Danio rerio: one gene and its partner. Each later gene encodes a partner of the first gene's protein in a complex. Links are inferred from orthologs where the notes say so. Each region holds a gene or a part of one and is shown on either strand. Other genes may lie near its edges.

The links. The genes of interacting proteins can lie anywhere in the genome.
Region 2: coro2aa (region 1) and gps2 share a complex: the UniProt entries of both Homo sapiens proteins name them as parts of the N-Cor repressor complex. The link is inferred for Danio rerio from reciprocal best matches to the Homo sapiens genes CORO2A and GPS2.

What each region holds. Positions count from the first base shown.
Region 1 is NC_133176.1:28,274,357-28,278,908, forward strand, and holds part of coro2aa (coronin-2A), read left to right. Parts: coding exon 1-111; intron 112-2,144; coding exon 2,145-2,294; intron 2,295-4,552.
Region 2 is NC_133180.1:24,725,723-24,730,274, reverse strand, and holds part of gps2 (G protein pathway suppressor 2), read right to left. Parts: intron 2,922-4,552; coding exon 2,845-2,921; intron 2,732-2,844; coding exon 2,636-2,731; intron 2,453-2,635; coding exon 2,369-2,452; intron 144-2,368; coding exon 51-143; 3' UTR 1-50. UniProt on the Homo sapiens protein: Key regulator of inflammation, lipid metabolism and mitochondrion homeostasis that acts by inhibiting the activity of the ubiquitin-conjugating enzyme UBE2N/Ubc13, thereby inhibiting 'Lys-63'-linked ubiquitination.

The DNA.
Region 1 (4,552 bases):
AAGGTTGACCCTCATCATCCAAAGGTTTCTGGTCACAGAGGGAATGTACTTGACATCAAATGGAATCACTTTAATGACTTCTGCATAGCATCTTGTTCAGAGGACGCCACAGTAAGTGTAAACAAACTTCGACTCCAAAGATTTGATTCCTCCACTTTGAAGAGCCCTGGTGCACTTAACTCCAGCACTAGAATCGACGTCTGACATTTGTTCACTAATCATCTAATGTGTATGTAGTGCATAGCTGTTAAATGCAAATAATCAATGATAAACAACTGAAATGAAGCCAGGAATTCAAACAATTCAAACAGAGATTGAGCAAAACTTCTTTGTTCTACATGAAGGAAACTTTAGAAATAAACAACAGTCATGTTGACTACTTTGTAATTATGCACACCTCTATGATAGCTTTGCATTTTAACGTATGTTATTTTAATGTAACATAATATAGCATGCATCTGGTTTTCTATTATTTGAATTTAAATTCATTCATTCATTTTCCTTCGACTTAGTCCCTTTATTCTTCTGGGCTCACCACAGTGGAATGAACCACCAACTTATCAAGAATATGTTTTACACAGCGGATGCCCTTCCGGCTGCAACCCAGTACTGGGAAACATCCATACTTATACACACACATACATTATGGCCAGTTTGATTTATTTAATTCAACAAAACCACATGTCTTTGGACTGTGGGGTAAACTGGAACATCCGGAGGACACCCACGCGATCACAGGGGGAACATGCAAACTCCACACAGAAATGCCAACTGACCCATAAAATATATAATTTAAATGAAATACATCATTTAAAACACTTTATTTTAATGTACAATTTTCACTGTTAATAAACATTTAACTTTGGATTTGCCTCAATAAATTCTAATCGTAGCTATTAATAGTAATAAGTTTGTTAGGTTACGGTTGTGGAATAAATTCATGTAGGATATGTGCTTTATAAGTACTAATAGGGCGACGCGGTGGCGCATTAAGTAGTGCTGTCCCCTCACAGCAAGAGGGTTGCTGGTTTGAGCCTCGGCTGGGTCAGTTGACATTTCTGTGTGGAGTTTGCATGTTCTCCCCGTGTTCGAGTGGGTTTCCTTTGGGTGCTCCAGTTTCCCCCCTAAGCCCAAAGACATGCGGTACAGGTAAATTGGGTATGCTAAATTGTCCATAGTGTATTGTATGTGTCTGAATGAGAGTATATGGGTGTTTCCCAGTGATGGGTTTTATGTGCTCGATAAGTTGGCGGTTCATTCCACTGTGGCGACCCCAGATTAATAAAGGGACTAAGCCGAATAAATGAATAAATAAAATGAAAATAAATGAATGAATAAGTACTAATAAACAGCCGATACTTAGTAGTAGTCATGTGCCACCAGTTTTTGTACTTAAACTAAAGTGTTACCTAAATTTTTACATCCACTGCATGTTATTTTGAAAATCAAAGGTGTTTAAGAAGTTTTTAAGACTTAATCAAACCGAATATTGAGATGGAAAATGTAAATAAAGAATACCCAATTTTTCATGTATTTATTCTTCATGGATAATATTTGACTATAGCAGAAAAACACATGGGCAACATATAAATAACCAAGGCAATACAGTAGCTGTTTATCATTATCAGTTAATGCTACAGCAAAATTTGACTAATTTAACATTTATCCTAAAAGATGGTGTATTGCTTAAGAATGGGAGTGTTCTTAAAAGAGAAGCAATGCAATATTTGTACCTTTTTGATTAAGTTGCTAATTTATATAACTTTATGTGTACATTTTCGCACAATGTGCTCATCCCCAATGAGGGTTAGGTTTATTTTGTGGGACTTTTTAAACAATATTTAAAATAGTTATATTTCCTAGTGAGATTGGGCTGGTAAAAAAATGTAAAAATATATTAAATGTGCAATAATAACTTAAGTATTAGAGTATTATTACTGGTTTTGATGTAAAGTAAAAGGAGTCAAAGACTCAACTCATTAAAAACCTGGAATTGAACACATTGTGCATAGTTCTTTGCCTTTCAGACTTAAAACTTCTACATACAATCCAGTAGCTGAATTTAGATGGGTACCTTTGATATTCTGTAACTTTGTTCTCACATTTTTACAACTTTATGATGTGTGTGCATGTTTGCTGTTCAGGTGAAAATCTGGGAAATCCCTGAACATGGTGTTTTGAAGACCATCACAGTGCCTTGGAAAGAGCTGCAGGGTCATTCTCGACGTGTAGGCCTCATTGAGTGGCATCCCACTGCCAACAACATCATTTTCAGCACCGGCTATGACTATCAGGTACTTCAGCTATACTTACAATTAGTCGTGGAATGAAGGTAGACAAGATTTCAGTAAACTGGCCCTCTGGTAGACATTTCAAGTATTCACAGTGCTAACATCTCAGCGAACACCACCACAAGTTGTATCATGTATAACTCTGCTTGTTGTAAGCAATTTTGTAAGGTAGAAACTTTCCCTTCAGAGCTGAAATAGTTGTATTCAGGGCTTAAAATGAAAACTCTCCATTGCAAGTTTGTTTTAGCAGCTAAATGAAAGCTAAAACTAAGACTAAATCTATCGTTCAAAAACATATTTTTTTTAGCCAAAATAAATAAAATATTCACAATAAATGAACAGCTAAAACAAACAATAGTCACTGAAAAACATGAAATAACATTTAGCAAAAAAGTTAATTGTTTCATTCTGACATGTGGCTGTTTATAGACATACCTGTAGATGGCGCTTTTACAACCAAAAGACAAAGTCAAACTCATCAATACACAAACATCTCAGTAAATAGTACATGTGCCCTGTCTATTCTTCATCTGCCAAAATGTAAACTAGGCAAGCTTAACTAAATATGTGATCTTTAGCATGAAGAGGTTCATCATTTCTTTATAATACAAAGTTTGCTTTTATTTGATTATTTTAAGTGGCATTCGTATTTATGTATTGGTGTTTGGTTTAGTATTCATTATTTTATATTCATTACTAAGAGGTTTGCAGAAGAGATCATGTAAACTGTCCAAACATTAAACTTTGCTGGACATGTTCTTTTAACTGTTAATTTATTAATGTATTCTACAATTACAGAAACTAAATATATGAAAACTAAATAGAAATGTGTTTACAAAATAAAACCTAAACAAAAACTAACAAAACCACAACTAAACTGAAATTTATAGCAAACTTAAAAATAGAATCAAAATAAAGATCTAATTTAAAAATGTAAAAATAAATTAACCTTTGTTGCCATCGCCTGTAAGCACAAAATAGGAGAAAAAATTATGTTGACAAGTTTTTAAGTAATTCCTATGCAACGGTGATAATGCCGTAGGATTTAGTGTGATTATTATCAAATTACAAATAAGTCCTTGTAATGATATGAATATGTGACATGATGCACAATGCTGATCTTTGAGCAAAATAACAGAAAAATTTACTTTGTGTAGTTAAATGTTTGAAACACAAAACATCAATATATATCAATATTAGTTTTGTAAATTCATTGTGGTTTTAATATAATAATAAGATAATTTAATATAATAATTATAACAATAATTACATTTACAGATTATCCCGCATGTATTAGTATTATAATAAGGGTCTAAAATTCTAATACAGTTGAAGTCAGAATTATTAGCCCTCCTGAATTATTAGACCCCTTGTTTATTTTTTCCTTAATTTCTGTTTACGGAAAGTTAACATTTCTTTACATTTCTGTTTACATTTCTAATCATAATAGTTTTAATAACTCATCGCTAATAGCTGATTTATTTTAACTTTGCCTTGATGACAGTAAATAATATTTTACTAGATATATTTTTAAGACACTTATACAGCTTAAAGTGATATTTAAAAGCTTAACTAGGTTAATAAGGTTAACTAGGCAGGTTAGGGTAATTAGGCAAATCATTGCATAATAATGGTTTGTTCTGTAGTAGACTATCGAAAAAAAATATAGCTTAAAGGGGCTAATAATTTTGTCCCTAAAATGGATTTTAATAAATTAAAAGCTACTTTTATATTAGCCAAAATAAAACAATTAAGAATTTCTCTAGAAGAAAAAGTATTATCAGACATACTGTGAAAATTTGTTTTGCTCTGTCAAACATCATTTGGGAAATATTTAAAAAAGAAAAAAAATTCAAAGGGGGCCTAATAATTCTGACTTCAACTGCATACCATTAGAAGTTACCATTTTGTTAAATGTTTTTCCTTTACTTTACTGCAGATGAGATAGTGGTATACTTCAATTAAACTGATCCAAAAGTCTGCAGCGACCTTGTTAATATTTAAAGAAAAAGATCTCCTAAATAAATGATTATAGCTAGAGGAGCAGCATTCCTAAATTGCTGATATATATCTACCTTATTTTTCATGCATTAACGAGTGCAGCCATTTATAAATTTAATGTGTCTGGCTTCTGGTGTCATTTGCTTTCAGTTATTTTTAGCTCTACAAAACAGCCTGTAATGCTGCTTGATGCTTGTGAGTTGGGAAAATGGTGGAAAGCAGATGTGAGACACTTTGTGTTACTATTATTGAAACTCATT
Region 2 (4,552 bases), on another chromosome or scaffold:
GCGAATCTTTCCTTCTACCCCAACATTCTGCATTGAACTAAAACGAATGGCTATTTGCCATGGTGGTAAAACCTCTGCCCTGATTGGCTGTGAGAGAGGTAGGCGTGGCGAGGGGTTGCTTGAGAGGAGCTTTGAAACGTAGCCTGTAGAGCAAAAGGAGAAACAAAATAAAGTCACTTCAGTAGTTCCTAAAGATATGAAATATACTTGTGTTGGTGGCCGGATTAAAGCACACCATTTACCCGCATGACAAAAATATACTACAATATATGACAAAAAAATTAAGTTAACAACAATAATTGTATTTATAATGAGACGATTTCTTTTCGATGAGTGAAAAAAGACTGTTGGAATAAAAAAGAAATTCACCATTTCTCCTACATTTATGCTATTCAGGAGCCATGTGCACCCATTGGCGGGTAAAGTCTGCTTCTTTCAGGTTCAAAGTAAACTTGAATGGCAAAGCATTTTAGATATGTATATAGAATAGCCTATGTAATAGATTAACATAAAATAAATGAGAAATAAATGACAGAAAAGGGAATAAAAACAGACAATACTCTAAAAATAATCAAAATGACAAGATTAAAATATGTAGATTAACCAAATGTGTTGATTAATCATTACTAAAGGTGTTCATATATTTTGCAGCCAGATTAGAGCAGTCATTTCATCCTCTTTGAGTCTATAGGAAAGTTTTTCTGAGTCGCTTAGACTTTTAAAAATAAATTATTTAATGTTTCTCTCACGACAAGCCAAGCGAAAGTAGGCTTAAGTTAGAAGTTAATGCAAAAAGGCATACAAGTTTTCAAAAGCCAAATCAAAAGATGAATCCTGGACATTTTAGGAGATTTAGACGAATTTAAGTGCCAAAAAGGTGCGTCTTTATGGGTCTGCAGAGCACGTGAGACTGTCTGTGGGAGTGTTGACAGTTCACGCAAGTGAAGAAGATTTTCCAGTACTTAATTGATCGCAGATGTTTGGTTATGTTGCGCAGATACAAAAAAAAAAAAAAAAAAACGTATAAAAAGATCATAATAATAGTAAAAAAAATATGTGTCACTAGTTATACCTGGGCAGCCGCTCAAGTAAAGTTTGTGTGGGAAGCACTGCACTTTCTTTATACATACATACATACAGTGCTGTGCAAAAGTGTTAGGCCACTAGTATTTTCACCAAAAAAAAAAAAAAGGTTTAAAGTTGGTTATTTCTTTATTTTTCTGTCGCATGTCAGTTTGAAATATAAAGCTACCTGAAAAACTATGGGCAAGTGTATCAAGTGTTTTAAATGCAAAGTTTTGTCATACCAAATGTTAATTTGGTTAATTTACTAAAATATATTAATGCGTCCACCTTTAAAATGTGGTTGTCTCAAGTATATGCATTATTTCCACTTGGAAATGGAAATAGATTTTTCAAACTGACAAAAATATAGAAATAACTGACGTTAAACTTTTTTTTTTTTTTTTTTGTAAAAATACTAGAAGTCATTTGTTTCTATATTTTTGTCAGTTTGAAAAATCAATTTCCATTTCCAAATATTATTGTTTTCATGAATTGTATTTACACATGGAGAATATTGACTACACAAGGAGTCTGCTAAGAGTCAGTGCTCCACACAGAGATCTGATCTGATCATTATCCAGTCTGTCTTAAATGGCTTCCAGAGAAACAGAACAAACTAAGAGAAACTGAGTTCAGAAGAACTTTGGCAAGATCTCTAAGTTGCTCTAAGATTTTCACAAACAGTACATGTGTGTGAAAATACTGTAAAATGAGGATGCTTTCAAAAAATAATGCATAAGTACATTTTATCAATTAACTTAATTACTAAAGCATGACAAAACTTTGCATTTAAAACATTTGCCCATAGTTTTTCAGGTAGATTTTAAACCTTTTTTGTGGAAATACTAGTGGCCTAAAACTTTTGCACAGCTCTGTACATCACTGGAATACTAAATTCTTCCAGCAATTATTGGTTCATTAAAAAAAAACTATACATTTAGACTTTCTCAGTCAGATATCATACATACTATCATTCAAACTTGTGAGGTTGGTAATATTTTCAAGGTGTAGAGACAATGGGCAAAGTAAAAAAAAAAGTAAATAAAAGAGAGGTATATGTATATCGAAACATAAAAAAACAACAAGAACTGGAGTAATGCATACTTAAAATTCTGTTTAAACAGAATAGGAATAGTTTTATTCATTACATTTAAGTTTTAAAATGGAACCTTTTTTTAAAATAGTAATAAATTATTTCTTTAACCATTTGCTGTGACCTTGCTGAATCAAAATACCTCACTTATTCTATAAACAGTAGTGTATAAATATACATAAATACAAGATATAGTATAAAGAAACTTACTGCATGTGCTTGCTGTGAGGGCGTTCCATGGGAAAATGCACCTGGAGATGCTGGCCTTTGCGAATGTGTATAAGATATGCCAGACTATAAAAAAGAACAGAGCAAAGGTTTTTTTAAATGTTGAACAGGCCACAAAAGCAATACAAAGCATCCATTTTAATCATCTTTACATTAAAACAATTATAGTACAGCAAAGCCTAATATCTCCAATGCTGCAAAATCAAGACTGTGGCAATACAGATTTCATGCGGTGGTTGTGGCTCTGACCTTGCCAGGAGGAATCTGCACAGCAATAGGAGGAGTGGACAGCAAACTCGCAGCGCTGACATGAAGAGCCTGTGGGTGCATGGGCCTCAGGGGACTCTGAAAACATCAATGGGAATCATGCTTTAATTTAATTACACAAACACAGCTGAATCCCTCCACTGAGTTGACGTAGTTTGAAAGAAATGCACTTCCTGACCATCTCCACTTACAGAGTCTGTGAAGCCGGACTGCTGGTTAGCATGTTCCAGCTGTTTCTGAAGGGGAATCCCAGCGCTAGGGATGTAGCCTAGAAAAAGATGGAAAACAAAAGAGTTTGTGTAGCTATCTGCCAAAAAACTGACAGAGGAAATATTACCCCCTAAAAATACAGACTGACTGAGTTCCCCACCTACACCCATTTAACATTGTGTGTGTGTAAGAGAGAGAGAGAGAGGAGGGCTACTCCTATGACAACAGGATGCATATATACATAATATGTAAAAGTTTAGTGAGTGATATAACTCACGTGACCTAGTTTGTTTTGAATGACTAAGCAGATGACGCTCTGGCATGGCTGGAATTCTCAAACTTCAAACTCTCAAAACTTTGGCATTTGCTTGATTTTAGGTTTGCAGAGATTTTGGAATCACAAAATCCTGGAGGGTCTGGTTAACACTTAAAAAAAAAATCATAAAACAAACCAAAGTGACCTTAGATGTTTTAAATTGGGGGGTAGGTCCAGTTTTTGTTTTACTGCTTTCAATAAGCTTGCTAACTAAATAAAGATTGTAGATTATGATTTAAATCTTGCTGCTAAAATGTTGACATTAATGTCAAAAAATTTAACTGAGTGTAGAATTTTATTTTAGTCTTACGACATATTTTTCATTTCTAAAGTGATCTGCATACGCTTCATTTCATTAGTGTAGGTAACGTACCTAAAGCTGTAACTGCAACATTGAATATCATTTTACTTCAAACTAATATTTAAATAAACATTTGATTTCAAAAGAATTCTGTAGCGCAGGGTTTATAAACCTGTGGCACACATGCCACCATTTGCAGAATTACTGCCACATAAACAATAGAAACATTGATTGCAGTTTGTTAAAGGATTTAAAAGCTGTAAATGATGGATATTTTTGGAGCTGCTTTTTGTTTGTTGTTTTAGGCTATACTCACTCAGTTTAGCATTCAGTTTGTGTTAAAGTTCCAATATCTCTATTAAAGAGGTGGTCCAGAGTGTATTTTTAAGGCTTGGATGCATTTATAAAAATGCAAAGCAATGTGTGCTCATGCTTCATTTGTAGAAAATCACGTTACTTTTTCATATATCTTAATTTGATTATATACAGCTACTCAGCTAAAATGAAAACAACTGTCATATTTCCTAGCTCCTCCAAAAGGGCCGCCCTCAAGAGGCTCTGATTGGTCAGCTAATATAATGTGCTGTGATTCGTGTATCGGCTCCACGTCAACAGGAAAAGCGTCACACCTCTACAAGCACGCACTTTGCCTCAGCTGTGTAAATACTGTCCATCAGTTTGTGCCTGAATCAGTCAGAAAATGACACAGAGAAGACAGCTGAACCTCACACCTGCTCTCTAAAGTAAGATCTGACAAGTGTCTTTCACACATATTCAGATGTAGAACGCAGGGAAAGCACCGCATAGAAAGACACTGCAGCGCTGCTGAAAATTGTGGGTGTTTACAGCGGTTTGATGGAAAAATATGAATTTGTAGCTGAATAGTTAATAATGCCAAACAGCATTTCCTGTTGTTACATCCTTGTTTACGTTCTTGCTGTAACATACCCTTAACGCTTGAAACAATGCATATAATTGATCAATTTTAACAAATAAAAACACTTACAGGTTGTGGCTAACAATTCAAAGCAACCCACAAATGCTAGCTATATATTTTTTTAATTCTCTGGAA